Linked DNA regions of Drosophila melanogaster. The protein of the gene in region 1 interacts with the protein of each later gene in a pairwise test. Each region holds a gene or a part of one and is shown in the gene's direction. Other genes may lie near its edges.

Region 1 (10,800 bases):
CCAAAATTGCGATTGGGCGTGGAATAAAAATCACTTATCAGTGGCACAATGTTTTGATAAGAGGAACGGACTCCGTGTTTGGCGAGGGGGACTCGTGTAATCAGTATGCATGCAGATAAGACCGTTCCGTGTGATATCGCTCGTACTCACCGCATAATTTAGCCCGCTCAGATCGACATCGCCGCTGGTGATCCACTCGTAGAACTCCATGGCGTTGTCAGTGGGATCTCCCTCGCCGTAGGTGGCCAGGCAAAAGACCGCCAGCGAGTTGTCGATGTCCTTCAGCTGCAGCAGCTCCTCCATGTCGCATTCCTCGGGATCGGCAACCATGCCCTTCAGACGGTAACGAATGCCCTCCTTGGCCAGACGGCCGGCGAACTCCTCGCCGGTTCCGGTCTGTGAGCCATAGAAGACGACCAGACTGCGTCCGGATGCCTTGAGCTTCTTGATGAACGAATTGTCCGACGCACTGGTGGTGCACACTGTGGTGGGTCTGAAGAAGGTAAAGATATGCGTTAAAATCTCAGCCAAATTTGAATCTTATCTTAACACGCAGGTAAACACTCAGATCAACGAATGAATCACACAATGGTATTCACACATTCATTTGCGATGTGTGAATCATTCAGCGTCAAATAATGGCCGATCGATTCCAACAAATCGGCGGAACATATGGATCTGTGACGGAATGAACCGAATAGATCTAGAGGGCATTTCATTCAAGAAGCAGTTTTAAATATTGAATTGTACGCGTGATATGCATGTTTTTTGAAAGGTTTATCAAGAAACTGACTATTCAATTCAAGAATTGCCATGGTTTTGGACTTCGGATTAGATTGCTTTAGATTGCTCAAATTTAACTATACTTACTGTATGGAATAGCTCCTGGTTGGCTCCTCCTCCTTCTTGCGGCTACGCAGGAAGTAGAAGGCTGCGCCGCCGATTAGCACCGCCAATAGGGCCACGTCCAGCAGTCCCAGGAAGGGTTCGTCGCCGCCGCCGCTGGGAATTGCGGCTGCTCCATCAATCGTTTGCTCGCTGGCCATGGTGGTACGTGTATGACTGCAAAAAAAGGGCACAGAATTCACGGCGCTTTAGTTTTCGCTTTGCATAACATTGGTCTAGCTCCATTTGCATGTCGCGCACTTTGGACACGCACTCTAATGTATTCCACGTATACCAGCGCTGGCGGCGTAGCATCGCCTGTGCGTCTAACGGTAGTCCGTCCGCTTCCGCACTTGTCTTAGCGGTGCAAGGTACCGCTCTAGCTGGATGTTCCGCCAGCGCCGCCGGTTGACATTGAAATCGCGCATCTGGTTTTAATCGATCGTACCTTGGGACGTTCCCGTTGCACTGACAACTACGACTACTCCGTCGATCACTTGCAGTGCTGCACTGGTGCAATTAAAGCTATGAATTCGATTGGATCCGCCTCTGTGGCGACGCAACGTGTGTTTCGCGTTAGGGAGCACTGCTCACTGACCGCCGGGAGCAACAGGTTTTATGCACGCGCTTATCGAATGCCGTCGCCGGTCGAGAGATATGATGAAAACGAGTAAAAGCGTTCGAAATGCGCTGTTCCCAAGCAAATACTCTTTGAGCGGCGCAAAATAACGAAATTTGATTTCCAATCACTCGATTAACACCTTTACCAGCCGTTGTTCCAGGAAATCGCCAATTGCACTAAGCAAAGGCTTTGGTACTTGTCAATGTGAAATCGGATTAAAATCATCCCAAACAAAATACATTCCCTTTCATTAGGATTCAGTTTATGAAGTACTTAAAGATTTTAATGTACATATACGGTTTGTATACGTTTCTTTACCCGAATTTATAAAAAAAAGCATAGGAAATGCAAATTGAGAGGGTTTACTTAAGCTAGAGTTTGGGTTTTGAAATGCACACTTGGAGTTCAATGAAATTCGCCCCGACTGCTTTGAGTTTTAACTAGTGCCGAAAGCATTTTTACTAGAACTCTCAACTTAAGCAGTTGGAAGTTTGAGCTGATCCCAGGTGTTATCTTTTGTTTTGTGGGGGCTTAAGGAGCTCTACTGAATTTTCACCTTGAATTCGGGTTTGACTTAATGCTTTAATGTTGCTAATGCGCCGCTACGTGCGTGAACTTTGTATAGAGTCGCGTAATAGTTCTTGTTGCTGTGGTCAGCAAAAGGCAGAAAATAAATATTAAACACATGCGAGGCATATGCAAATCGACGCCAGTATCGTCATTCTCGTCCGATTTCGAGGAAGGTATGTGTTCGACGCTCCCGATAACAACCAACACTGACAACAAGTGGAGGTGAACATAAAATTGGCGTCTTTTTATAGGTCACCCATGTGTGCTGTTCGATTGACGGAATGACGACAGCGCAATGATTAAATTGTGTTAGGAAGCACACATATATATCACGAAAACCAACAAATGTTCCAAAAATGTTAACATAAATTCGGTTTCTTTAGTTTTTTTTACGAAACAATAGATCCTAACTCGTTCAAATGTGTATATGTTTCCTCCAAAAACACTCTTTATTTGAGTGCTTCTTTTTCTAGTTTACGACTAAGTAGTTAATCTAAATGAATGAGATGAATGATCTTGGTTATTTCTGCTTAGCCATCTATTCAAACAAAGTTTACGATCTAGTCACAACAAACGCCCATCTAGTATCACCCTACACACTTGTAATGTGCGTGATAACGCTTAGAATCTCGCTTGGCATATGTGATTTTAAAATTCCCTAAACACGATGACACTCTCGAATTACTCGTCCGAATCGACGGAGAATTATAAAGTAAGCATGACTATGCATATTTATTTCGCGCCCAAGTGGCTTTCGTTATCATAAACCTAGTTTGGCTGTCTGGAAAGGATGAAATGTAACTCCGCGCTCACTTTAACCGAAGTCCATTAAATGTAATCCCATTACGGAACCTGCCCTTTTAATGGTTCTTTAATTGGAAGAACTAATAGTCTAGCTTTAATAGGTAGGTAACCCTATAATGGGGTGTCATAACATATAATATAATATATTTATTTAGTTTGTCTTTGAACTTGAATTTCAGAGAACTAATTTTTATCCATAAAAGTTCTTAGGAAGTGTACAACAATGTACAATTTTTATATTTTAACTGATTTATATATATGTAAATATGTATGTACGTACATACCTAGACTTGCAGTATCTCCTACTAAGTTCTTAGTTCTTTCAAAATGGAACGATTTTACAGAGTTCAGTTATACAAGGCAGCAAGAGTATACACACTTCGGCTTTTCGAACTAAGCCACTTTCAATTTCGTTGTAGTAAATTTTGATACTAGGATTTTGTTTACATCGTCATTAATGTGTGTGTGTTTAATTAGCATAAAACAATATATCGGTTGGCTTTTTTCACAAATTGTTTTTAATAAATTGGAAACTAAATGCAACGCCAACTCCAATTGGAAAATGTGTAAAGTTGGTGTACTTAGGATTTTCAAATGTTGATTTTTTGAATAAGGAAAGGCAGGTTAACGGAAATTAAGAACATAGCTTCGTCGCTCATATCGAGTGCTTACTGTACGGGAAGCAGACAGTCGACAGCTGTTCTCAGCGGAGAGCCACGAGCAGAAAAGTAACTTGATGGCCGATTGGCGACCCGAGTCGCGTTTTTGGTTATGCAATTCGGCCTACGACTCGGTTTGAGACGTGAAAGGCGGCGATACAGCGTGCAAATAGCGCAAATTAATAACAGAAGTGAATTAAATTAAATTACACGCAGCGCGGACGGAGTGAGCGAGAGCGCACTATCGCACGGGCGGCGGCGAGGCTGTGCGAGAGCGAGAGGGAGAGGGAGACTGGGCGAGCGCAGCAACAGGTACTGAACTTTAAACTCGCTCGCAGGGCTCTTCTGTGTGTGTGTGTGTGTGTGAGCGAGCGAGTGAGCGATACGGTTGCTCCATCATCTGTCCTCGTCGCTGCAACCTTGACCGCCAATGCAGCGCTCGAAATATCTAAGCAGCAAATTAATTATGGACTGGATTTCGATTTTGGTAATCGGGTTTTGCTTTTTGGATTTCGACAGTGCGTGGCCTTGTGATTCGGCTCCTCGAAACTCACCGATCGCGATCTCCGACTGCGCTGCTCCTAATCCTCTGTAGATAGACGACGATCGGTGGATGTGGATGTGGATTTGTGCCCCGTCTCTGGTGCTCTTCCTGTTGCAGCCCCTCTCAGCAGCTTGGCAGACGTCAAAGCCCTTGATTTAAATTCGCTTTATTCAGTTACGCAGCGGGGCGAAGCCACGATCTTAATTTTAATTCGCTTTATTCGATAAAACGTTGACGGAGGGCGGCAAGTGCAAAGGGGAAGTGACGACTACCACGGCAGCAGCAGTACTAAATTACTGAATTCCAGAGGGACCGTCGTCGAATCGCGGTGTGGATTTCTCAGTTGCGCGCACTTTCCAGCACTGGAGTTGGAACGGATAACAGAGCTATGCCAGCACGCCACCTATGTGTCCAGTAGCTCTGTTAAGTTTGATATTTTACTGTTCGCTAGAAACCGTTATTCTCTTGCTGTGTACAACGAAGTATTCGTGTGTATCAGTGGTTTTAATATCTTTAGGAATTTTATTTAATCACTGCTGACTGCATTGTTATATATTTTAAAATATAAACTGTTTTGTTTCAGTTACATATTTCTTGGTTGCACTTGTTTTCTTTAACAGAACTAAACCTATTTTCTTGCAGCCCACTGCGCAAAGACATACCGATAGTCAATGCCGCCTATCGATCCATTCGATGCCAGCCACCGAGATACTCAGTCAGCACCTGCGTATCGATATCAGCACTTCGGTCTCTTCGTTTTATTTCTCGTGAATTCCTTTATTTATTGTCGTTAACTGCCCAATTACTATCTTTAACTTTACTTAACCAATACGCGCAGTGCTCTGGTTTGCGTGTCTAATCAGCTGATTCAAATCGGCTAATTCCAATTGAGCAATTTACTCCCCCAAAAAAAACCTGTGGTGTCGATGGTGCTGCCGTTTTAGCCACTTTTGTGAGCCCAGCGGAGCCCCGGTGGAGCAAAATAGTCGAAAAATGCCATTGAAATTCTTGAAAAAGTGTCGCCAGTACAATGTTACGTCCAAGAGTTTGTTTGTTATATCAGTGCATCACCTGCTGGGTGAGTAAGCCCCACATTCCTAGAGGCGCTACGCCCCCCACAACAACAACAGCGACAGCAACGACAACAACAACAACAGCAATAGCAACAGTGGAGACGAGACAATAGAAACAACAAGAAATCGGTGACAAAGCCACAACTTAACAGCTGCCGTCTGCCATTGCAATTGGGATTATTTAATTGGGAATGTGCACAACGATTGTCATGCGGCGCCCACTTCCAGTTTAGCTGGAATTCGCCTTCCAAGGCACAGACCACAAAAATGCCTTCACTTGTTGCATTCTAGTTAACAGTCGCTGAGTTAACAGAGGCGCACAGGACACATAACAGCGACCGTTAATTCTAAAACTAACAGACTGCCTATGAGAACTTCCTAACTTTGCGTACTTCACATTTTGTATATTATTTACTCTCGATTTTGGGCTAAACAAAAGCATGTTTTGTAGTTCTTATACACTTAACCGAATGTACTTATTTGGCAAGCGAACTGAAGACCTTGACTCAATTAAAACCACCCAAATTTCTCCAACCATCAGAAAGGTTTTAGACATTAGGCCTACGTTTCGTTAGTTAGGAAATACGACAGATGAGAGAAGCCAATTGAGCGGCGCCGCCACAATTTCCGTCCATAAAACGTATAAGGTCTCGAAAGAGATTATAAACTTTATTTGCATATTTGCGCGTGCGACGGGCAGGGCCAAATTGTTGTTGTGCGGCGAATTTAGAGTGCTTGGAGCGACTTAGGCCGATGTTTGAAGCACGTTTTCACTCTTACCTACATTGCAGACACATCCAGCACAGTGGACTGCACGATCAGCTCGGAGAGCAAGGGACAGGAGTGCCTGGACAACGTTTGCCAACGTTTGCTAATCCAGCAGCCGGAGTTCTTTGGACTGCGCTACCTGGTCAAGGGCAAGGACAAGGAGGACGAGTTCAAATGGATCGACCTGGAGCGCTCGCTCAGTCGGCAGCTGGAGAAGTATGCGGCGGGCCCCAAGATCTACTTGCGCGTTCGCCACTACGTGACCACTGGCGTGCGCCACTTGAGCGACGAAGCCACGCGCTTTTACTACTTTCTGCAGCTGAAGAGCGACATCTACGAGGGCCGCATCGCCTGTGACATCCGCACGGCCATACTGCTGGCGCTCTACTGCCGCCAGGCGGAGTACGATAGCTACCAGGGCGACAAACAGAGCAAGGACTATCTGAAGAAGTCGCTGGTCCTGCCGCGCAACATGCAAGGCCTGGCCAACGATGACAGCATGCTGGAGGGACTGATCGTGGAGGTCCTGCAGCAGCAGGCGGGCATTGCACATCTGAGTCAGAGCCAGGCGGAGGAGATGTACATACAGTGCTGCCAGCAGCTGGAGGGGTATGGGGAGGAACGTTTCGCCGCCAAGGACACGCTCGGCAATGATTTGTTGCTGGGCCTGGCCATCAACGGGATGGTGGTGAACGCGGACAACGGTCGGCAGTATTTTCCATGGAAGGAGTTCCACACGGTGACCATCGACAAGCGAACGATTAAGATCGAGCAGAACAAGCTGGATGGTGGCGGCAGCATCGTGGGAAGCTTTATATTCAGCGAGGCGGACACGGCACGTTACTTCTGGAAGCTCACCATTAGCCAGCATAAGTTTTTCAAGCGCTATATTGACACGGCCACGCCCTCGAGCCTGGGAAGTGGTGCGGATGCGGAGAGTGGTCCGTTGGGCGTTGACAGCGTTGGTTATGTCGACTACGATTACAATGAAGCGGCGGCCGCCGAGCAACTGCAACAGCATCATCAGCAGCAGCAACATATGCAGCAGCAGCAACAGATTCAGCAGCAGCAGATGATTTCCTCCAACATTTCGCTGGCTACCAGCGCTAACCAGATGTTGGGACAAAGCAGCTCCTGCCTGGATTTGAGCAACAACAACCTGCACAGCAGCAGTGGCATGTTGCACCACGGAGGCAGCAACAACAACAATAACAACGATGAGCGGGAGCGCCTCAAAGCCATGCTGCCCACATACCGCCCGGCACCAGACTATGAGACGGCGGTCCAACTAAAGTACCGCACACCATCGGCGGAATTCCACAATGTGGCACTGGCAATGGCCGCGCCCGGAAATGCCTACTATGCGGGCTCCCAGCCTGATGTACACAATCCAGGCATGCACAACGAGAACTTACTGTATGGTCATATGACTGCGCATCGTTATCCGGACGTGGCCCAGCCGGCGGCTGCCCTACACCACCACATCAACCTGTACCAGGCACAGCATCAACCGCAGTCACATCCACAGCCCATGAGCCCCGCCCAGGCATACCTAGAGCTCTCGCAGCGCATGCATATGATGCGTCACAAGGCCCCACCGCCGTATGTCAATCGGCTGAGTTCCTCCTCCACGCCCGATCTGGCCGTGGCCACTCCCCGTCCCCTTCAGGGTTTCCGCAACTACGTAAGCGGCTCCTCGCCGGATCTAGTCTCTAACCGCACGCTCTTCAATGGCGGTCAGTACGTTGCTCTGCCCGCAGGCGGACATGCCGGAAATATTCCAACATCTTCCGGAGCCACCATGTTGCACCAGTACCAGTACGTGAGCCACATGGGGCACTCGCAGCCCTATCTGCCCCCGCACGGCACCTTCGAGAACCTCAACATGATCGAGGAGCAGCCGTCTATAATGTCCCAGCTGCGACAGTCAGCGATGAGTCAGGCAGCAGCTGCAGCTGCCGGATCTGTGGTAACGCAGAGGTAAGTGTAATGAAGTCGTAAAATAAACAATATAACAATACTTTTCGCTACGATCTTGCAGTTCACCTACCCTGCCGCCGAGTGGATATCGTAGTTCTGTGCCCCCGCCAGCGAGCAGCCCGCTTCCACCGCCGGTGGTTGCTTCGTCCCATAAATCGGCGACACCGGCGCCACTACAGAGGAGCTTGGTGAACGGTTCCATCGAGCCCATCTACGAGAATGTACCCCTGCCACAGAGAGCCTCTGGTGGCAGCAGTGGTGCCGCAAATACTGAGGCTATGCGTCAAAGAGCTTCCTCCATACAGTCCGCCCCAGGCGTTGTCCCTGTTCCAGCTGCTCGAAACGCCAGCTCCAACAACGTAGTTACTGTAACTGTCAATTCTCCACCCGACGATGGAAACATAAAGAAGTACGGCGCAGACCGAGCAGCAAGCACGGAGCTGCTGTTCCTGGAACCGCAGGCTCCTAAGCGGACCAATCGAGCCGCCAGTGCAGCGCCAGATATGGGAGCCACACCTCCGCCACGACAACATCGCTCAACAGCAAGCCTAAACAAGTCGTCGACGGTCGACATGATCACGCCGGCCGGAGACACGCTGCAACAGCAGTTCAGTGCCATGAATCTTTCTGCCAACACATCAGCTTCCACATCCTCCATGTTCAACTCAACGCTGGACACCACGTCCTCATCGGCGGCCAGCAAAGACTTAAAACGCAAGAAGCGATGGAACTTTTTGTCACGCAGCAAAACACCCGACAAACAGAAATCCGCCACACTGGGCAGGGAAAAGGCCACAACGGCAGGTCAGCACTCCAAGCTGGCGGCAAAGCTAAAGCTAGCCCAAGACGATCTCAACCTGCCAAATCGTTGGTCCACAGGCGTCAACAAGCCGCAGCCCATTTCTGGACGATATTCCAAGGACAAACTGGTAGGTTAAAAGTTATTACGATTTGGAATCCATTTCGATTAAAGCGCTTGTCAACTTCCAGTGCCAAATCCTAGACCAAAAGCTAAGTGACTCGCAGCTATTCATGGAGTTCGAACGCATACCGAAACGACGGGAGCATGCCCTATACGAATGCGCCCTGCTGGAGGAGAACGAGCCAAAGAACCACGACCCCAACTTTTTACCCTATGACGACAACAGAGTGCGACTGACTCCATGCCGAGACAATCGGCATGGTTACGTTAATGCTTCCTCCATATCTGTACGTTCAGTTGACACTCAAGATGAAAAGCAAATTGTGTATTTCATTGTTGGAACATCTTTTTCAGGCCACTGTGGGCACAAAGCAGCGGTTCTATATTGTGGCCCAGTCGCCACAAGAACCGCTTACCATGCGCATCTTCTGGCAGTGTGTATGGGAGGCGGATGTGTATTTGGTGGTCCAGCTAACCGAGGATATGAGCTATATTCCTCGTAACAGTCATCAGCGTCTCGAGTTTGGACAGGTAAGTGAACCGCATAAGCTTTTAGTTCTGTTCCTCAAAGGTTCTACTTTCTAGTTCCAAGTGTATCAGGAATTCTCACAAACCACCGATCGATGCACCACCATCAAGCTGCGCCTTTACCACGTACCATCGCGTCGATACCGATCCGTTTGGTATTTGCAGTACGCTGACTGGGCGGAGCAGAATTGTCCACGCGATGTGAATCACTTCCTCGATTTCCTCGAGGAGCTGAATTCCGTGCGATTGGCATCTACGCAAGAAGTTCCGCCGGGACATAACACAAACCCACCAGTTCTTCTTCACTGTCTGGAGGGAGGCGGTCGTTCGGGAGTGACACTGACCGCCGATCTTTTACTGTACACGTTGGACCACAATGAGGTGAGTGGAGAAAGGGAATTTATTATTCCATTTCCATAAGCATTATTTTCTTACGATCGCAGGACCTGGATATACCTCGAGTTATCGGGCAGCTAAGGCATCAACGGGATAGCATTATACCATCCCTGGCGCAATACAAGTTCATATACAATCTGCTTATTACCTATTTGAAGCGCACGAGGCTCATCTGAGGTTCTAAAGAATATGGAAAACTTGGCAAGAAGTATTTTTCTTTGTTTAAGCTTAAATTGTTTATATCGAACAAATTTCCTTTAGTTCTCGTTTTAAAAAATCAGTACAACTCCGTTCAGCAATTTTATATTTCTACTGGCAGCTGTTGTCCCTATAATCGTTAAATTTTAATACCAACTAGTTTTTAAGCTCTAGATTTGTTATAAAAACAGAACCCCCCACAATGGCCACTTTATAGATACATACATAAATATAAAAGTAGCGGATAGGTAGTTGTTTTGGCAAGCCAGTAAAAATGCCAGTTAACTAACCACAGCCACAACAATTGGGCTTAGGTTTAAAGCCGAACTATTTATACATGTGTATTTTAATAAATTTCGAAATAAAAACAATAACAAATTGATAAAAAGCAATAAGCACATTTAACTCTTATGCGACGTGCAACGTGTTTTTTCTTAAAAAATTATTCCCAGCGCGCTTCCCCAAAGAAAAGGTTTGAAAAAAATTAATTTTATTTTTGTTAATTTGGTTTGATGGTCCGAAACATAGTTAATACATGTATAATTGTCACATAGGTCTTAAAATATGAATTAAATGTACTTCATGTTAGTTTGGCGATCTGAAGACATTTTCATACAATACGTGGCAAAAAGGAAGACATATTATGAATTTATAGTCTTCAGATTTAGGACAAATTTTGTTTTTCGGTAATAAAAGCCAGACATTCATTTTTTAGACGTCTTCTCAATTTGATGAAAAGTTTAAAAATCTTTTTAAACTGCCCACTTTTTTCATTCCCCACTAGAATATTGAACATTTATAAGAAGACGTCCCCAGGATCTTTGAAAATCAAAGATACAATTAAAAGATCA
Region 2 (10,800 bases), on another chromosome or scaffold:
GTGGGCCCAATCGTCGCAGAGCAGCATGCACAAATATGTGCATCATAGCTTCAAGGAATATTTGCATAATTTACTAAATAAATTACTTGTTTGATAATTTTAAATTATAAAATTAAATTATTATTATTAATTAGCTTAAAAAAGAAAAAAATCTGATTAACTGCTTGTAGGATATACATACATAAAAACATATAACAAAATCTTGTATATAAAAAGGTATTTCTCACATATTTACTATTAAATGATATTAAAATGTGGCATATGCATTTTTTCGAGCAAACACGAATAATTCGAATTGAACCCACACTTCCTAGTATCACTTTTATTCGCTGTAAGTTCCACTGTGCAGCGACTAAATGGTTAGGTGGCGGCGGGTAAAGGAAGATGTGGCAACCGCAACAGGGGCATGTCAAAATGCTAAACGATAAATATTTCTATGTATTTCACTGTTGGCTAATTGTTGTGACCTCCTAATTTACTCAAGAAGAACCTGAGATTTGAGGCGCTGGAGAGTCGAGGGAACCCCTAGAACACTTTGCTTGTTCTTCGCATTTTTCCCATTTTCCCACTTTACCTAATCGTTTGGGCCAATCTCAGTGGATTCGAGTCGAGTCGAGTCGAGTTGAGTTAAGTTCTTTTGGGCCTGGTTGGCTGGGCAACGAAAACTGTTCTAACGATGATCGCGTAATTATGGCTAACAGTTTCGGTTTTGCTGCCGTTTGCCTCACATTTATGGTCGGTGCTGTAATAACTGTTACACTTAATGAGCCAGGCTTAGTTTTGATAATGTATCTTTTTTTGTTTGGCGGCAAAATATCCCAAGAAAGACTTCCAATCAATAGGTTGTCCCATCTATTTGGATTTCCCTTTCGCAGCAATCAAGAAATCAGTGGCAAAGAATCGAAAATCAAATTGCTTTTGTTTTACATTTTCGTCGTCTTCAAAATGCACTTAAAACGTTTCTAAAACGCAACCCATAGAAATTTACAGGGTATGTGAAGTTGATGCGACTGAAAACTATTTTATGATATTTCTTTTTAAAATTTTGGAAATACTTTAGTTCTGGCAGCTTAAATCATTTGGCAGATGAACTTAAGCGAACTTTGTGAATGGATTGTTTTTCCCACTTGTTTTTCCCATCGATTGGCCCGATATACCCTCTAGATTGATACCCTCTAGATGTCGCACATAAAAATGAAAGTTAAATGCGATCAATCGCAGATCGCCCCACAGCATCGAGATCGTGGCTAATTAATGACTTTCCGTTCGTCTCGTCGCATCCAAGTTAAGTTTCTAACGGTCTGGTCTGGCGTAGAATGTCGCGCCGCCGGCACCTGTTACGCAAATGAACGATCCACCAGATACGTCCATATATATATGCATATGCATATAGATAGATAGCTTCAGCTGATCGCTTCACTCACCTGCTCGTCGATGGGACAGCCGCGGGCATCGAGTAATTGCTGCGTGGATTCGCCCAGTCCATCGAGTGCCGCACAGTCCACCACCCGCACTCCGATGTTTCCGGGCACGATGGCTCTCACCGTCAGCGTGGTGGCGACGCCCACCTCCACGGATCCGGTGCCATTGGGACCGCCCAATTCTAACCAGATCCTAACGCGTGGCGTCTCCCGCTGCTGTTGATTGATGGACGAAGTGGCGCCGAGAGCTGGAACTGCAGCAGCAGCTGCCAAGGCTCGCATCCTGGCATTTCTACATATATATATATATATATATCGAATCATAAAAGAACTTCTCCATCTTGTTACATTAACTAAAGCATTTGTAGAATTACCTATCGTGACCCTTTTCCTGTCGCAACACCGGAAGTGGCATGCCCATCGCATTGGCCGGAAGTTGGCATCTCACCGAGCTAAGGATGTCGGTGCTCTGGCGCAACTTCTGCTCCTTTTGCAGCATCACACGCACCGTATACTCCAGACTGCCGTCCTCCAGTGGCTCTGCCCTCACTCCGCAACCCGATGTTGGGATGCGCAGATGCAGACGCGTCGAGTCCTTGCCACGTGCGCGACACTCCAGCGGAAAGTCCTTGGCGTAGAGTAATCCGCGAAAGGGACGGCTCAACTCCAGATGCATCTCGAGCAGCTCCCGGCTGCAGTTCACCTGCATCGCCTGGATTTGCATGGTCTTGGTTGTGGTGGTGGTGGTGGTGGTGGTGGTGGTGGTCGTATCGTTAATGAAACTTTCCGGCGTTCTGGTTGTCCAGGCAGCATGACACAGAAACTGCGGCAGATGCAACACTCCGATGGCGATGGCCAATGGCAGCAGCTGGCCGAGATTGAAGGATGTGGACGCGGCCGAGGCGCTGGAGGAGAACATGTTTCCGATTTCCCGTTTTCTACCAGTGGCAACGGCAAACCGCCCCGCCGATGATCAAAACCGCAAAACGATAATGATGCCACTTGTTGCTGCTGTCTTTGGATGTTGCTGCTGCTGTCACTAGATGTTGCTGTGTTGGAAGCGACGACACCTGTTCGTGCGGCCGCGTGGCTAACTCTTAATTGGCCTACTCCCAGTCCAAGTTCGAGAATCTTGTCTGCGAAATGGAAATGCATTAGTTGCATACATAGCATAGCGATGATTTTGGGTCAAGTAATTACGGGGGGGGGGGGGGGGGCATGGTGTGTACTTGTTGCTGCTGGGCTTTCGTGTTTAAATGGGTTAACTAAACTGGAAATTTTGTACTTCAATTGTTAAATAACTATTTAAAGGTATAGCTAGCAATATTGATGATTTTAATCAATTGTAGGGCTAATAGAAAAAGGGAAAGGGGCACAACGCTGTCACTTTATGTAATTTTTAATGGCCAAATAAACGAGAGGCCAATCTGGGGTAGCCCTTCCCTGCCCATTTTCGATGCCATGCGATGCGATGTGATGCCAAATCCGCGACGAAAGCGGGTCAAGTTTGTCCCATATTTGTTTGATTGGATGGAGTCTATAAAGCAATGGAGCTATGGAGCCATGGGGCTACCGGGCTAAAGATGTTGCAGCACGGCGAACAAATAAATAAATAAATAGATGCGATAAAGGCAAACACCGAAGCTTAAATCAACATCAACATAATGCGTTTGCAACTTTGCGTAATCCTATTTTGTGATGTTACTAGCTGGCAGCTAGTATGGTTGGTTATTCGCTTATTGTGCTCTCTATTTGTATTTGTGATTCCCATCTCTTATTAACTTGACTGGGCATTGTAATCAGCCCAATTAACAATATAACTTGGACTCTACTTAAAAACTAAATATACAAGTATGTATGTATTTGTATCTTTCGAAGTGACGGTGCCCTTCACTCGTTTTGAGTTATTTCAAAATCATAGGGCTTATGTCCTTAGTCCTTAATCTTACAAATTAATATACTGAGATATTATTCAATATAACATGTGTGGTTACAATTGTATAGATGTTTTTTTGTCAATAAACTTATACGATCCTTTCAGTTGGTCCTTATTCTAAATCGCACAGATAAGTTCTTTAAATCTAAGTGTGATATTTTTTTAACCATTTGTTTTTACTGTAACTTGACATAGTTTTTTTTTTTTATGTATAACTGATATTATTCTTACCTTTTAGAACGAATTTAATATCCTTTCATCATCCCAATTTTAGCATTCTTTAAGATTTCGCGTTGAGCTTCTTCTCTTTTTCTATAACACTTATATTATAAACAGTAAAAAAAATCACATTCCTTGCGCAATTATGCGGTCAATTTGAATTGCGAAAAAAAGCAGAAGAACCGCAATTTTCAAATTGGTTAATTATCAGCTACTACGCATGCGCGCACTTCGCACGCTCTCAACGAACAGAAACAGTAAACACCGTAAAAAAAAAAACAAAACACTAACTGCTATTGAACAAGTGGATGAGATCGCGAAACACGCCCGTTTTGGATTGAAGAAGTCTCAAGAAGACAAGCGCGCGCCACCGAGTGTGCAGATGCAATGCACCGGGCCAATTCCGAGTCCAGAAGTTAGCCAAGTTAGTCGCGAGCGCAGACCGCAAAACAGTCAGTACAGCAACAACAACAATGAGGGAAGGGGCCAAAAGCGGCAAAAGACGTTGGCCGACGTCGCGCATGCCCAGCGATGTTTTTTTTTGGCGCGCAAGCACCTATTCAAATTGCGCGTTATCGATAATGCGCATGTATCGATATTTTGCGATCTATTCATCGGCACAATATTTAATTTATTTATTATATATATTTTAGTAAAGAAAATACACGTTTCACACAGGCAATGATCGAAATTCGAATAGATGTATTCGCATTTCTCGAATTTTCGTTTTTCTTTTCAAAAAGTAGCAGTTATTTGATCGAAACAAAATTAATATTGGTCGATATATGGAATGTCATACCTCGTTGAATTTGTAATAAAGTTTCAAATCGAGTGGCATTTACAGCTCAAAATGTTGGATTTTCATGATCTATGATCTACGCAGAGTGAGTCGATGTATGAAAGCGGAAGGAAGCAAGCATTTCTACAAAGCGAGTATTTTGTTGAAAATTGCATCGATACCTGGTATCCGATAGTTAGTTTCGGCCAGCAACCTGCGACTGGTCACACTTGCAACTTTTTACGTTTTTTTTCGGCAGTCGTGCGAATTAATTAATTAATTCAGTTGATGTGACCAGGATGAGCCACAAACGCTGCCTTGCGAACGAGGTAATCGAATTCGTCCTGCCGGCCAATAGCGATTACTCGGACGAAGACAACCGTGGAAACGTTCGTGTGATTAACACTAGCGATGATGCCACCTACGTGCTTCTGGACAACCTGGGCAACGAGTTCGAAGAGGACATCATCATCGTCAATGAGAACGGCGTGGAGAAGGAGATGCTGATGAGCAAGGAGCTGCGCGACTTTATAGTGGGCTCCCGGGTGAAGGATTTGACGGATGACGAACAGATGCCGCAATTTGTGGTCAGGGAATTGGATATGAGCGAAGTGGGGGATTTGGTGGAGGTGGAACCGGAGATGGAACAGGAGGCGGACTATGGCGACTACGGCGACTACGAGCACGAACCTAGCTACGGCCATCCGCGCGATAACGAAAGGGTGGAAGAGGATCTGGATATGTATCCACCGTCGTCACCCTCGCTGCCACCATCGCCACCAAGGCCGCCGTCGCCTGTTGTCCAGCCCGCTAGCAAAGCTAGAAATTCTGCCCGCCAGATCGCCTTACGTAGCTTTGTCAGCCAAAAAAACAACGACGACGATGATGGTAGCGTGAAGGAGGTGAAGCCAAGCGAAAAGATGCTGGAGGAGTTCAAGGGACCGCGTCGCTACATGCTTTTCGACGACCTGATAGCCACCATTGTGGACTTTGACGAGGATAGCACACCCCTTGTGGAGTTCTCCATGATCAGCGACATCATGGACGAGAAGCTGCCGGTGGAGTGCGGCATTTGCCCAGATGTGATGCACAAATCAAAGCTGTCCAAGCACCACAAGACCCATCTGGTGCCTGGCACCAATCGCTATGCTTGCATTTACTGCACGGAAACGTATCGCGACTGCAAGTACCTGGCCGGACATGCGCGGCGCCACATGGGCATCCGTCCATACGTCTGCGAACTGTGCACCCTATACTTTTCGACCAAGCAGGATCTGCGCGTGCACAATCAGCGCCGACATCTGGAGAAGGAGCATATTTGCGAAGTGTGCGGCAAGACGTTCGCCCAGAATACCCAGCTGAAGCGGCATCGCGAGGCGACGCACGAGAAGAAGCGGCGATTCCAGTGCGAGTACTGCCAGAAGGCCTACTACAAGAATTTCTCTCTGCAGGAGCACATCCGCAATGTTCACATGGGCAAGCGGCGGATGCTCAAATGCCCATTCTGTGGCATGCAGTGTCGCGATGCTCACAAGATGGCCCGTCATCGTAAGGAGATGCATCTGAGCCAGGGCACATACGTGTGCCATTTGTGCCAGGAGGAGTTCACCGACATCAGCTACTTCGATGCCCACAAGCGTTCGATTCAGTGCCGTAGCAATACGCGTCGCTTTGTGAATGCGGATGGGAATCGTGAAGGATCCGATTCGGAATCCATTTCCGGTCGCAATATGAATGGCCAGGACGACGATTACGACGGCATGGGCCCACTGCAGGAGGAGTACGACGAGGATGACGGCCTGTTGGTTGAGGACAATCAACCAGAGGAGCAGGGTTCGCCGTCCAATCGCCAATATTTGGACGAGAGCGAGCAACAGTATGTGCAGCTATCGGATTACGATGACCAGCACCTGCTGGTGGAGAACGCAGTGGACGCAGAGGATGGCGGTGAGGATTTAGATGAGCTGCTAACCGAGGATCAGTACTTTAACGCTGTCCAACAGCATCACCAGCAGCATCAGCAGCATCATGGCCGAGGGCAGGACTACAACGACGAGCTGATATATGAAATCACCTTGAAGACTGAGGATAACTGAGTGCCGCAACTCCGCGCAAATTTTGTACATATATAGGTCGCAATTAAATACTATCATGTAAAGAATTCATTCGCTTGACTTTGTTTTTGAATGGCAGTACCAAGTTTTTTGGTCGAATGCAACCCAGTGTGTACAAATCCGCAGGGCTGTATTTTAAAGGGCATCAAGTTCGGACTGTTGATTGCAACCAAGGGGTCAAACATCGCGCCTTTTGGTTGTACCAAGGGGTCATTGCGGTTTTGGCAATGGAATTTTCCACTCATTTTGCATTTAGCAAGGCCCCGGTGACGTCAGCACGGGCTATACAGCAGGAGGAAGTGAGAAGGAAATAACTTTAGCTACAGCACTTATTGCTCCATTTCGATAACGATTATTTCGGGTGGAGATGAACTAATTTCAAAACTAAATAGACTTTTATGTATTAAATACGTATTATTCAATGATTTATTGTTAATTATTATTGACAAAATATGGTAAAGCAGTCATGAGACACTTTTTATTAAAAAAAAAGATCATGTATATTTGCTTAAGCCTGCACTTCTCTTGTTTTGCAACACTAATGGGGCGGGCACCACTGACAACAGAAGTAAACAAACGTAAAGACAACATTTTTGTTTCTACCGGAAAAGTAGGCGAAATGGGCAATGACCACGAAACCAAGGGAACCCGGGATCCTTCGATCAAACTTCTCCAGTCACACAACAAACCACCTTGATTTGGAGCAGAGTTGCCTTCAGAAATTCCGCACAACAAAGCGATTCTCATCCAAATCTCGACCTGGCATATATTTTAAACAATGGACGACAACGAGGATGAGCTGGAGGAGCACCAGGAGCTGGTCAGCGACGGCAGTGTCGAGGAGGAGGAGGAGGTGGAGCCCGATCTGGGACCAGTGGACAGTTGGGAGTCCTTTAATGACCGCATCGATGGCCTGATCTTTAACGAGCGATGCGACAAGTCGGTGAAGAAGTTGGACGAACGCCGGCTGGCGATACTCAACCGGGTGCGTCAGCAGTTCCGCGAGGCCCCGAAAGGCGTCGCCGAACGTTGCCAGGCCCAGAAGTCGCCGATTGATCAACGGCTGGAGTTGTCCAGTGAGCGATTGAACGAACTGGTGCGCTTTGGCAAAGAACTAGTGACCAATGTCCGGGTGGCCAACGAGCGAAGGGAGCTGAATCGCCGACTCTTCGAGGGTGCGCAGAAGAATCAGATGCATGTGAAGCTGCAACGCGAAAGCGTTGAGACAATGGCCCGTTTCGAGAACATTAAGGCGCGCTGGACGGAGCTGGAGGAGACCAATGAGCCGATGCTGTTGTGGGACCAAATCGAAGAGCAAAAGAAACGCATTGCCGAGATTATGGCACGCAAGGATGAGATGATATCTGCCTGCCAAGCGGAGGTGGACCGCATGAATGCCAAGTACGAGTTCGATCGCGAGCGGCAGGCCCAGGATCTTTGTTGTCTGGTGGAGCGCGTTGATCACCAGGTGGAGACGCTTAAGGAGGCCTACAAGGAGCACATCCAAATGCTGCGGCAAACCATCGAGGAGGAGCGTCAAATCTTCGCCGATAATGCGGTGGAGAAGTGGCGCACCTTCTTCGATGCGATGAATGCCAACTTTGACGAGAAGGCCAATTTGGTAAGGGCACGCGAGCAATTCTATGCTCGCCAAACCCAGCAGATCAACGAGTCCCAGGAGGAGCTGACCAAGAGCACTCGCATTCGGCTGGAGAAGGAGTGCGAGAGGCTCGAGCTGGAGCTACGTCGCACGCGCGACAATGTGCTGATGAACTCCGAGAAGCTGGACTACAACTATCAGGTTCTCCAGAAGCGCAACGAGGAGAACGTGATCATTAACAACCAGCAGAAGCGACGGGTGGCCCGACTGCATGAGGCGATCGGACGCACCCGGCGTGGCCTGAAGAATCTTTACAACACGGGCAAGCGGAACATAGCCCGTCTTTCCTCGGACATCTACAAGCTGCACTCCAACATCAACGATATGGAGTCGAAGGCGCATCAGGCGAGGCTGAACAATCGCGAAAAGTTCGATCGCATCTGGGAGATCAACTACAAGGAACTGAACCTGCTGGTGGATCGGGTCTACCACATCGATCGCATCATACACGAGCAGCAGTTGGCCATGCCGTGGTCCAGCCCCGTGCCACCCATTCCAAACATCAACAAGGCGAAGAAAAAGCGCAATAACATTCTGGAGAAGTTTGACATGCGAATTGGCCGGGTTCCCAAGAACAGGGTGATGCCCAACTCGGGCGTAAATTGCAAGCCGGATATCAAGGAGCTTCCGCCGGATTCACTACGCTTGATGCGTAATCTTATTCGCAAGCTGTCCGATCGCGGCGGTTTCCTCATCGAGGAGCGTCTGCTAAAGATTCTTGAACCGTATTCCGAGGAGGAAAAATGCCTGGTACGCATCGACAATATATTTGCGGCGCTGCGAATTCGTCATCTGCGGGATGTCAAGGAACTGACCAAGGTTTTCATGCCGTACACCTACTGTCCGAATTGCCAGCCGCAGGGATTGAGTCCACGCAAGTGTGCCGAGGTGTTCATGAAGGATCAAAAGCCAAATCGGCTGCAGGGCGCGGCGGGTGGCCAACCGGATGAAAAGGAGCATAGGTCGACAGGGGATACATTTCTACCCAAGAGCGAGGTGGCGGCCAAGAGATGTCACAATCACTATCTGGTCATGGAACCGGCCCTCTGCCTGCACGCCATGAATCTGTTCACCTCCAAGATGCACAAAAAGATGTACGAACACGAACCGGGTAGCATTCTCAATGCGGTAAATCTCATTCAGATTACAGATGCGGAGATCCGTAATTTCTGGCGCCAGTTCTCGGCCTGCTTCCCGGCCTCCAAGTGCAAGCTGTGGAAGACACTGGAGCACGGACTGAATCACTACGTTGAGGTGCTCAAGATGCGTGTGCAGTACGATGCGGAAGTCGTCTTTCTGCGTCGCCAAAACGAAGAGTTGCGCCATCTGCTGCAAAAGTTCACCGTCTAGGTGCGATATTATTCAATTACAGCCTCAACCGCAATGCACATACATAATCCCAAGCAATTATTGTCCGATTTCACTGCAAACATGATAAATTATAATTGTGCCTAGGTCTTGCTCTTTGACATTGACATCGAAATAGTTTAGAGACGTGGGGTCCCTGCACGGGCGCCATCTGAAAAAGCTTGTTTCATTCAAGAGTCGTGCAATAAAAGTATATTTTGAACATGAAAACCTTGTGATTTTAAATATTTAAAATAATGGAACCCCTCAAAGTTAAATATTACTACGTCTATAGCTCAGTTTGTCCCGCTCTAAACTATGAACAGCTCTCTGATATCATTATTAGTGCCTAGCATGAAAAGAGCTCTTTGATAACATTTGTGAGGGGTTTCCCCTTGAGTCCTTAAATTAATCTTAATACCATATCTTTGAGATAAATATGACTTGTATTTGCTTCATAAACTTAAAGTACCCATCCATCCCCTTTAGAAATATTCCCAATGCCGTCCATGCCGCTCTCTGGTCCACCAAACTGTCGATCTCAGATGTTTGATTTGCTTTTCATTTCATTTCGAACTTTGAGTCCGTGGGAACTAGTTGGCGTTAGATGATCTCTACGACGGGGAATACCTTCGATCGCTTACCTCCCACAGCTACCATTTCACTACTGGAAGCCAAACGATTAGAACTTGTTGCACTTGTGTCTTATGTGTCTTATCAGGGCAAACCGATAAAGTTGAGCGGTAGACAAGAAAATGGTTATACTACATATATATGAAACCACATATTTAGGGTAGTCCACGAAAGGGATCGTCCAATTGGCTCAAAGTGCGCACCGCCAGCGTTTAAAGTGCAGACCGGGCTAATCATTCATTTATGGGCAAACTTTATGGACGACATTTCGATAAAATAATAATACAAGAGCAACCGCAACAGCTTGTTCTATTGAATTTCATGGCAAGCAACTACAACTGCGACCTGTAATAATATACTACATAATTAAACACGGCGTAATCTTATCGACGCTCGTTCGGACTCCATTGGCATTGCCGTCTATTTTCCTGCGGTAGCGGAAGTCTTGATCGTCAGTTGGCCAAACAACAGCAGTCCGAACGGAAGCGGAGGACCATCATGCGATCCATAGATCCCGTATCCCAAATGGCAAACGCCACTTTGGCGGACGACGATCTGGGTAACTATGACGTTTGCCTCGAGGATTTGCAACTGTTTGCCCAACTGGAGGATCTCTCCGGAGAAAGATTGCCAATGGAGATGGAGCTGCTGAATCCGGGCTCGGAATACGATCTATTGGAACTTGTGAATGG
Region 3 (10,800 bases), on another chromosome or scaffold:
AAGGGGAACCAATTAGGTGCACACTACATTAAACAACTAGCTGTTTTAAAATAGCGAGCTGAATCATTTCAGCTTAGACCTCAACTGGAGGTCTAAGGATATGTGTAACTTAAAAAATAATGTGCAATGTAATGATTAAGCAAAATTGAAGCTTAGATAAAAATGTTAATCAGTGCAGAATTCGTGAGCAATTGCTAAAACTGTTATTCTTTATCAACAACTTACTGAGTGGACGATTGTACTAAGAAAACAAAATAAATGACGCAGATAATTACTCACTAAATGAACTTAAGTAAAGAAGTAAATGAGCTTATAATGAACAAATGGTGAAGTGAACCTATGGAATATCTATAATTAATATATGTGAAGTGTACCCTCCACTTTCTAGTATGCATGTGGCTATGGACAGACTCGAACGTTCACTTAAATATGCAGTTCGCTCTCTCGATTGACCACTGTAGTTAGCGTGCACTTGGCTCGAACCCTGTGCAACCCCCGATTGTGAGGAATGGCCACAGGTTGCACTTCCGTTGCCATTGATTTTCTGCGTGTGTGCTTCAATATGTTTGTTCGTTATTTTCTAGTTAGCCACGGCTGTGAAAACAACTTTTACAAACAAAAAAAAAAAAAAAAAAAATTAAATAACAGACATTTCACCCGTAAATTGAAAACGAACAAAAGTGAGCAAGTAACAGAGGGAAAAATGAGAAAACTGAGATAACCAAAACCAATCGGACAGCATCGGTTAACAGTATTAACCAGCGACTGGCGGCGTCTCACTGCCAACTTCCGTTCATTTAAGCAGATTGTTGTTGCAGCCCCCAGGGGCAAGAGGCACCCCCCGTTGGAGGGGGGGGGGGGTGGTGTGTGTGGTGGCAGCAGCTCAGTTCACCACAAAAAGAAACTCCACAAAACGCATCATTGGCGTGGAATTGCTTTGACTAATTTCCCAATGAATCGGCAGTTGCGGTTGCGCCCTGTGGCTCCAATATATGTATGTATATATGTACATATATATGGGTCCATGTGTGGGGCATGGCTATTAAAGTTGACCGGGAAGAGAGTGTGAAACCGTTAGTAAGCGCTACTCTGACTGCGGGTCACCCGCTCCTCACCCGCAGCTTGATAAATAGTTTCCCTTCAAATATTTGCAAATGTGCACTGAGGGAAAATAGTGTCCGACTTGGTCCACTTTCGTCCCAAATACCAGTGAAGATGGCTTAATTTACTGTCGTCTCATAGAAATCAATTGATGCCACAAAGGTCTTACTCATGAAAATCTTTGAGGCTTAACAGTACACTTATACTATACTTATACTTATACTTACTTGCCTTGAATTTATATATGCAGCACTTTTATGTCAATGGGAAAGTTAACACATTTTTTTCCCTCTGTACAAATGAGCTGTCATAATTAATTGAGCCATCATCAGGCCAGCGAAGCTTGAGCACAGCCTTCTAGCCAGTTCTCCGGATGGAGTTGACCCATTTGCCGGCGACCCAATTGCATCTGAAATTGTTGTCTAATTAATCATCAGATTAGTTAGTGTAACAACTTAATTCGACATGCCATGCGAATGCCGCAAACAATTGTGTGAAAATTGCACAAATCCAACTTGCAGATACAAAAACAGGCACACCAGATACATACATACATATGTCTATGTATATGTGCAGGTAAATCTGATGCATATTGGGTAACACACTTGAAATGGAAATCAATTTCAGTTGACCAACCTCAACGAAAATGATATGCAAAACGCCGGATTTAGTTTTGGTATGCATGCAAATGCACTTTTAATTGCCGCATTGTTTGGGGAACTGCATATCATGCTGTTGCACAGCCTAGCCTATCTTTCGAATCCGCAGCAAATCCCATTCGGAGAATTTCCACACATCCAGCCGGGTTTCACTCGAAACTCCAAAGAAATGACTTTGGCGGCCCGCAGGCCACCACTTTTTGTTTCCCTTGTCCGAAACCATCAACAATCGCTGAGCACTGAAAATGAACAACGAACAGTCTGGAAACCGAACAACAAGTGCGTTGCTGCTCCGGCCATCCATCTATCCATCTATCCACGTATCTGTCCATCCATAGATACTTCGGCAGACGTACTGTCAGCGTTTCAAGTCTGCCATTTAGTTGGCCAAGAGCAGAAATGCTGCCTGCTGGCCGAGAATTTCTCTTTTTCCAATTTGTGCTGTGTGCGCATTTCGGTTTCGGCCAGTTTCGCTTGCCTTTAGATTTGCCAAATAGTTTTTGGGAGCCTGGGGCCTTCGGCTTTTTCCAAGATGAGCCGCTGAGCCACTTAACCCAATGCCAGCCAAATGGGTTAACCCGCCCCGAATCGATGCGAATCGCAGCACTCTGCGTAATTACGTGCCAGAAATTAGCATATTTGGGCGTGCGAACTGCGGCTATAAGTGCACATTTCACTTTGGGTGCAGCAACACACTGAGATACAAATGTATCTCATGAATATCATGAAGTGGAAGGTGACAGACCAACGCGGATATTTGGGGGGAGCTTTTTGAGATGCGTAGCGATGAGGCATCGCCAGATTCCAGGTTATCTGCAGCTGGGCGGGGGTTCGTTATCTGCCGTCGCATTTGTTTATGGGTCTCTGCCGTAAAAATAAACCAAAATTCCTTTGATTGCAGAACGAAAGCAAACGCTCCCAGGCACACACATACACACACGCACACCATACCAGCAGCAGTACCAGCACCCCGTAGGGGAAGTCTTGAATTTGTGTATCGCGCCGGCTGATAAGCTGCTCCGTAAGCGACTTTTATTTTCGGTGGCCCAAGTGGAGGCAGTGCGGCAGTGCTCGCTTCCAGTAACAAAACAATGCTCGTAACTGGCGCGTAATTAACACACAAAAACGCGCTAAACAAAAAAAACAAACAAACCAAAAGCAGCAGTGAGGCGAATTTGTTTGCCAAAAGTGTTTCTTTCATGTGCGTGAATGGAAAACAGTGCCTGCATGAGACACTGAGTGCGGAAATGGAAATGGCCTAGGGCCGCTCCCGATTCACAAGCAACCGACATACACACACACCACACACCGCCCAGCGGCGACAGCAGCAGCAACATGGCAGGTGAAGTGCCAGCAGAAACATCGCCAGTAGGATGCAACACCAGCAACAGCCAGGGGAGCAGTCCCCATCCCGATCCCATCCAGCAACAGCAGCTGAACTCCAGCGTGGACAGCGGAATTGCGGTGCTCGAGGCGGAGTCGCCGACCTTGAGGAGGCGCCAGCGACTGCACCAGTGCCAACGGATCCTCCAGGTGTTGCAGCGGGATCAACTCACCCACCAGCAGCTGCGCGATAGATTAAGGTGAGTGCCAGATTTTCAATCTTCTGAAGCATTCATTCGATCCAATTTAATATCAGAGGGCATATACATATATATTTATTTCCATCATTCAATTCGATGTTTTCAATTTGATTGACAACAACTTGAAGCTGTGGAAGTTGGACTGTGCCATGTGGCCAGAACGGAAGCCACAGGCAGCTGGGGGATTGGCCTGAGCCGACTTGGGTGCGCATGGAGCCCACAATCTTACGGCAAACTGCTCTGGGTGTATGCATCTGCATTTCGCAGACTGCAGGCGGATATCAATTTATGCAAATTTGCCGGCCTCAAAATGGAAATGACAAAATCTCGGGTGCAGTTAGTCAGTTAGTCAGTCACTCAGCCATGTCATTCGTACAGCCAGAAATCTTTCCGTGAGCAGTCGGAGTCTTCTGGGAACTCTTTTTTAGACAATTGTCATGGAGAAACCCGCTGCCTCTGACCACCGAGCTTTCGAATGAGTTTGCAATTTGGTTGGGAAACTGTGGCGGGGAAGTTCCATTAGAATGATAATGAGGACCAACCCAGTTCGGCGATTGTAATTGGAAAACCTCTTTGAACTATATTGTTGTCTGTTTTCAGTGTGAGGAAAGATACACTTTATAGTTGGATAATTATGCTACATAAACTTATATAACTATGTTATTGATAGAGAAACAAGTTGGAGTCTCTTCATTGTTTTTTTTTTATAATATTTCAGGATAGAGTTTTATAGAATTATAAATACGAATAGAGCATTCCGGAATCGACTGGTTAGATTGTGGAGCACCCAAATGTATGGCCCATTCCATGATAATTTCGTTTTCCACACGAGCTTCGATGCCCGAGGAGCGGAGTGGCAATCTTATCGAATGTTTCATAATTAAGTTGATTAATGGCAATTAATTGCCGTAAGCTTTGCATGCCCAATGGCAGGGCCAATCGATTTCGTAGGTTTTTCTTTTGGCCACAAACTCTTGCCACCATCCTCCAAGCGGCGGACATGTGACTGGCAGCTGCCAAGTGGCATATGCAATTGCATTTGCATAAGGTCCGTTGGACAACGTGGAATGCCAGAGAATAGTGGACGGGGTGGGTGGGTCATAAGTGTCCATATTTCTGCGGCTCAATGGGGATTTACCCGCCAACACCCACCCACCCCCACCCCCTCAGTTGCATGGCCAACAAAGCTCTGACCCAGTGCGCCAATAAGGGCCAGTTCCAATTTGGTTACTCGCCCGCAACGCACACAAATCCTAAAAAAAAACCACAAAAAATTTAAAAAAAAATTTAAAACCCTGGAAACATTTGGCCGTAGATTCAACACAATTGGAAAGAGTGTACACCCGTTTGTGACCTCACACCCGAAATAGTCTTGACACTTATCTGCGACTTTTTCGTCGCATACCGAGATATATATATTTATATATCTCTGGACGCGAGCGGAACTCTTATCAAATCAACGGTCGGTCGGTCGGTCGGTCGGTCGGCTATATACGCGATCCGCCATAACGAAGTGGGCAAACAAAATCCAATATAATGCCCATATACCCCAGTTATATATTGTGCAAAAAAGTAAACAAAACCGAATTCAACTTGGCTAAAACAAACCTGTCGCCGCTCCACTCGCAGTCGGAGTCAGCTGCTCCAATCGCCAAGTTAACTTAACTTGAAGATCGTTGGCACGGGGGGCCCTTATCCACGTGATCCTAATCAGTTTGTTGTATGTTTTGTTTCAATTTGTGCGTCATGCAGTCGGGATTGTTAACGCTGTCGACGGTTTGGGCTTTTTGAAGATGGAGCAAGGTGATCGGCGGGCGGGCGATGGCAATTAGCGGACTGAGTTCGTGTGGCAAGCACCTGAGAAACATATTGCCCGAAAAGTGATTGATAATCGTCGTTCGTAACTGCAAACAGAAATAACAAGACAAGCGAAATTTGTGGTAATTATTTATTCAGATATTTCGCCAGTGAAGTTCATTTCGGTTCAGTGGGAAGATTCCACTCCCAAAATATTACAAAAAAACCAAACAAATTTATAAATAAAACCCACATCTTTAATGCCAACTGAAGTGAATAGCACGATAATTAAAATACATCATTCTTAGAACCACACACACACACAACTGATGCTATAATTTTTGTAAATAAAAAAATGCAAAACCAAAGGAGATTATGCAACTGCCAACTTCTATAGAAGATCTCGATGAAAAAAAGCAAAAATGTCGATAGGAGCTTTGCAAAAAAACACATACAGACATTTATCAAGTTTAATTAGTGCTAATCGCAATGTGCAAAAATAAACACAAAGGAAAACACTTAGGCAATTAAATTAACGTATAAATAACTGCTAGTACGTGATTCGAACTGCAGACAAAGTTTTTTCTAAACTTCTCTCAAGTGATTGCATCTAAACTACGAGATTTGCATACTTAAATGAATAATGTTCTTTAAGTGATTTATGACAACAATTTCATTTATCCTTCTTTGCATTATGCTGAAAATTATTTATCACTAATGGTCACGACTTCAAATGTGACCAATTGCACTGAGTTGTACCTAAAAATATTTATTTACGTGATATTTTCGCTGGGAACTAATTGTATTACTGGTTTACCAATTTTCTATTCAACTTAATAACCGAAACTTAAATGCCCTGCTCAGGGTATATTTACCCATACAACTTCATGTCGAAATCTAGGCAATTTAAATCGAACAAACAAAACTTTTGATAAGGCTAAGGCCAAAGTATGTATTGGCCGAAAACCACGTAAAATGTCCACAAAGAGATGATAGCCGCAAATGAAGAATGTTCGGCTCTGATAAGTAGTAAAAAATAGTTTGGTGTAGTATTGTTCCGGATATTTCATTGATTCAGTATAGTTAGGGTTTTCAATCGAGGTGGAATTAAATCAGAGCTGCTTCCGATAAGTGTGTGTGTGCGTGTGCTTCTGATGCAAATGCCGCGAAATCGATAGCGTAATTGAATTCAATGCGAACTCCGCAGTGCCTGAAGCGCTGGATGCGCCCCTACATCTGCCTCATGGAGCTGCCAATCAACCGACCTGGAAGCGGGAACCTGCTGCTGGGACTCACCTCCGTGGTGGGTCTCATTGGAGGCGCCTATCTGCTGCAGTGTGGCGCCCAGCAGCTCTTGGGGTGAGTTAATCAAATGGGAGATAAATCAAAATATAGCATCCGATGGATACAAGTTCGACTACGTGAGCTAAGCTCCGCATCCGCACGTGCACTTTGTATGCTGCAGATACAAATGCAGCGCGAGATAAATCCGAATAGAAACTGAAACTAAACTTTCTTGACTGCAACTTCAACCCGGTTACGTGGCCATCGTTTCGCATGAGTTGATTGCGTTTGCGTGTGGGAAATGGCCGAGCTGAAGAGATTTGACATAATTGTTGCCATTTCTCCAGTCGCCGTTTTCCACCAGCTACCATTTGCCATTTGTTACTTGCCCCGTCGACCGGGATGGCGATGCAACTGCTCACTTTGGGCATCGAGTGCGTAGCGTCGCCTTAATTAAGGATTGCGCAATCTCCGCCACCTGCCTCCAATTTATGCAGCACCTGTTGTGTCTCGGCGATGGCCTGCCGGTCCGTTAGACGTTTCATAACATTGCCAGTCCAGACCCAGACGAGCTGTCATTGACTCTTCGCGAATCCGTCCACAAGAACGATAGAACCTCGAAGAATGGCCAGCGGAAGTCGTTGGCCAACAAAGGGCACAACTTTCCACCGCCCACCCGCCGCCAGCTGCTTTTTCCTTAAAAAGCGTCACAAATTGGCAATAACAATTGGCCATGGCTAACAACGCCCCTCAATTGTTGGCCTTTCGTCACCTTTTCAATGGCATCTTAATTAGCCGCTTTGTTGACAGCATTATTTGTATTATTATAGCGACGGCAGTTACACATCATTTTTCAGTGTATTAGGGTAATATGCGTATCGAAACTATAAGGCTCTGAGTAATGCATATCTTTGAGGCACAATTTCTTTATATATTTAAGCAAGGAAAAGATTAAAAACATAAACAGAATAATAAAGTTTATATGAGTACCATTTTCTACATACGAGCTTTCAGTTCGCTTATAATTCACTTATTAATTTCCGGGTCTTAAAGACGACATTTTATGAACGACATTCTATGAAGCCAAACGAGTTGTGGAACTGTGGAAAGTCAGCCAAATGCAATTAACTCTGGCCGATGGCAGAGTTTAGATATGCACAGAAATTCTGGGTTTTATTCGCCATTAAAGTGAGAAGAAACCAGTTATCTTGGCCTTGTGGCAAGTGAAAAGCCGCAAAACGAAATATTTTTAGTGCTTTCAAAACCAATTGTGAGAACAATAACAAGTTGTGGAAAATGTTTAAACTAATGCGATATTATTTACTTACTATTGAGCAGTATTGTTTTCGAGTTTGCTTATGGTTAAGGCTGTTGAAAATCGTTTTCTACGTAATAAAGCATGCTTTTAGGCATATGAGTTTTATTTGAATTTAAATAAATTTAAGATTTGGCCAGGTGAATTAAGATATTCAAGATAATTCATGAATCCATTTAGATACGGTCAATGATGATCTCACGAAAGCCGGATAGTAAACTCGGAGATAATCAAAAGATTATTACACTCATATCAATAAAACAATTTACGATGCCACTTGCTCGCTTCTACCAAGAATTTATTAATCTCCGGCTCGAAGTTCTGGGAAATTCTGTAGATTATGCTATCAGAGGAGCATTTGTGAAAGCTTCTGGCCCTGTTGGGATATTAATAACCTGACACAACCTGATGGCTTGACGCTTTCTTGTGCGGGAATATGCTAATGGCGGACACATGAGACTCACATACATACATCATACATATATTAACCCAGATTCCCAGCACAGATTTCTAGGGAATCTCGAAATCTTAAGGCATGAGATCGCAGCTCGAAAAGTTCCCCGGGCTTTATGCCGATGAAAGTGTAGCGGCAACACCGTGGCGCCATTTGTTGCCAAAATAGTGATTAAAACTCGAATCCAGCTAGAAGTCGATTGATTAGTTAATAAACCGCTCACAGCATGCATACATTATATACATAGTATTTTGCCAGACAAGAACCAAGCCAACTCGTTTGCGGAATGTTTCTCACAATTAGCATTTGGAAATTAATGAAGTTCAGGCCAAAAATAAATTAGTCGACAAATGAATGCAGCAGACAGGCGATGATGCTCGATGATCTTCGACCACGTATGTATATCTCCTCCAAAACGGTTCCTGTTCGACCAGGTTTCCAGCTCTTGGATCAGATCGGATTGGATCTGATCGGACCACAGTGATCGGAGAAGAAAGGCGATAAATCTGCATGGAAATGTGCGCAGTCATTGCTTCCAATCCGCCACATACACATGTCGACCCGTCCGACGGGATCGTGGGCAGGGGGACTCCAACTTACGTCATTGACGAGTTTGTTTAGCGCTAGAGAGAGAGAGAGAGAGGCAGTGGTTTCCCGCTCTCCACGATCGAAACCGGCATGGGATACGGCTGTGGCTGTGCCAGTGTGGTTCTGTGGAGAGGCCACAGCTCCATAGCTCTGGCTATGTGGAGCCATAGAGACCCGATCTCAGCTGTTGACCGCCGACTCTCAAAGCCAACTGCGCATAACAAAGGCGAACCTTGTGCGAGAAAGTTGTCAGTGTCGTGGGACGCGGATCGCGATTTGATAGCGAATTGGCATTAAGTGCTTCCATTGGCGAAATCGGTTCAACGCGAGTGCCATGCCAAATCCCAGCAAGCCCACCGGCGCTAATCAGTCGACAAACATTTTGAATACCTGAAAACCCGATCCCGACACCTGGAGAACAGCCCCCCACACCACACCACACGGCAGAGAATCCACTACAGATCCAGCTGTCGATCGAGTTCCAGGGAGAATGCTCTTCTCCGCGGTGGTGTTGTGCCAGGTGGAGCGGCTGATGTGCCTGCCCATCAGCTTCGCGGTGCTGGGCTTCCTCTTCATGGCCTGCACCATGGAAGTGGTGCTGCTCAAGTTGACCAGCACTGATCCGGTGCTCGGACCGCCCGCCGAGGATTGGGAGGAGAACGGGGGCCCGGATGGGGAGGAGCAGATCTACTATGAGAATCTGGAGAACAACTATGAGTACTGGGCGCGCAGGAGGATGCGATTCCATCGACAGCGACAGCAGCAACAGCACCAACAGCAGCAGCAGCATCTGCCCACATAGAAGACTTAGGCTAGAATATAAGTGTATATTTTTAATTAGATCGGTTTTAAGCGGCTATACTGACTGAGCATCTCTCCTACACACCTTGTGTTTTCAATCGCTTTCGACAGCCTGTGCAAGTTATTTGAATCTTTCGCAAGCGTAATGTTTTCGATGACCGTATACGGTTGGCTTTTTCCTTAAATTATATTTGTTTGTTTGTAAGCGAAATTGCGAATTTTGCCATTTGAATAAGTTGAGCAGCAATCCGCTTGGCGATTTCTCATTTCGAGCACGTACAAGACACCCAGGAATTCCCTTCTTCTCTCTTGTGTAAGAACTGTAAGTGACTGACATAATCCGAATGCATATCGAGGCAGACAGACGCACTGCCTCTTAGATTGTAAGTTGTTTGTGATAGAGCTACATGTATGTATACTTTAAGCCAGGCCATTTCGCCTAAGTTGATTAAACTCGGTTCGAAGCCTCATTGCCTTTTTGTTTGCCTGGTCCAACGGGTTTGCGTTGTTATGCAATTGGCGGGATTTAACAGCCGGGAGAAAGTCAATTGCCCCATGCAATTGCGTTTGGGTGGGGACTGCCCACTATTTAGTTGCCGGGGGAAGTGGTGGTCGTCGGTCCAAAAGCCAGAAGTAGCACGATCAATGGCTACCGACTAATTGAGCTGAGTTTCAGCCAATGACCTTCTGGCCGTTGAATAACCCCAGCTAATCGCCAGAAACGACCTGACTAATCGTCTTGTTTCCATCACCATCCAACATTCTCGAAATAACGCGCGCTTCCTTCCGCCTTGTCTCTTCCAGCAAACTAGCCAATAAGAAGTGGAGGAAGGAGGAGTCCAGCAGCGAGGATCACGCCTGCAACGTCTGCTGTGCGGACCTGGATCTGAGCAGTGCCAAAAAGTGAGTAGAATTCGTGTCTCCGAAATATTGCGAAATACCTGTTTGACATTGTTGATCTTACTGATATCAGCATTTCTGCCGAAATCTATTCGTTTGTTTGAACAACAGTCTGGCTTCTTGATAGCCATATAATAAATAATTCGAACAAACACATTTGCAAAGTATAATTTGCAAAAGAATTGGTTGCTTTCTCCTGCATCGGTTGAGGTATTTACTGCTCTGTTCACCGAACTAAAAAGAAACCAAATTTATTTATGCAAACAAGTATAGTTAAATTTAAATAACTTTTTTTACGAGAGATTCCACGAGAACTAA

What was found.
Region 2: the proteins of Pez (region 1) and CG2116 interact in a two-hybrid assay, tested with the Drosophila melanogaster proteins (one large-scale study listed by BioGRID).
Region 3: the proteins of Pez (region 1) and M7BP interact in a two-hybrid assay, tested with the Drosophila melanogaster proteins (one large-scale study listed by BioGRID).

Annotation. Positions count from the first base shown.
Region 1 is NT_033779.5:6,332,420-6,343,219, reverse strand, and holds Pez (Pez), read left to right. Parts: upstream 1-4,548; 5' UTR 4,549-4,572; intron 4,573-4,726; 5' UTR 4,727-5,077; coding exon 5,078-5,162; intron 5,163-5,948; coding exon 5,949-7,905; intron 7,906-7,966; coding exon 7,967-8,834; intron 8,835-8,895; coding exon 8,896-9,114; intron 9,115-9,181; coding exon 9,182-9,358; intron 9,359-9,412; coding exon 9,413-9,736; intron 9,737-9,798; coding exon 9,799-9,927; 3' UTR 9,928-10,339; downstream 10,340-10,800. Other genes in the region: Cpr (cytochrome P450 reductase), read right to left, coding at 151-493, 871-1,046.
Region 2 is NC_004354.4:8,125,266-8,136,065, forward strand, and holds CG2116 (uncharacterized protein), read left to right. Parts: upstream 1-4,546; 5' UTR 4,547-4,653; coding exon 4,654-6,450; 3' UTR 6,451-6,518; downstream 6,519-10,800. Other genes in the region: cyr (cypher), read right to left, coding at 1,425-1,713, 1,796-2,340; CG10958 (uncharacterized protein), read left to right, coding at 7,247-9,478; CG2120 (uncharacterized protein), read left to right, coding at 10,607-10,800.
Region 3 is NT_033778.4:7,623,830-7,634,629, forward strand, and holds the start of M7BP (Myosin-7a binding protein), read left to right. Parts: upstream 1-4,971; 5' UTR 4,972-5,283; intron 5,284-6,347; 5' UTR 6,348-6,362; coding exon 6,363-6,499; intron 6,500-7,665; exon of another isoform or gene 7,666-9,271; coding exon of another isoform or gene 9,272-9,583; exon of another isoform or gene 9,584-10,386; coding exon 10,387-10,485; intron 10,486-10,523; exon of another isoform or gene 10,524-10,800. Other genes in the region: CG43341 (uncharacterized protein), read left to right, coding at 9,272-9,583.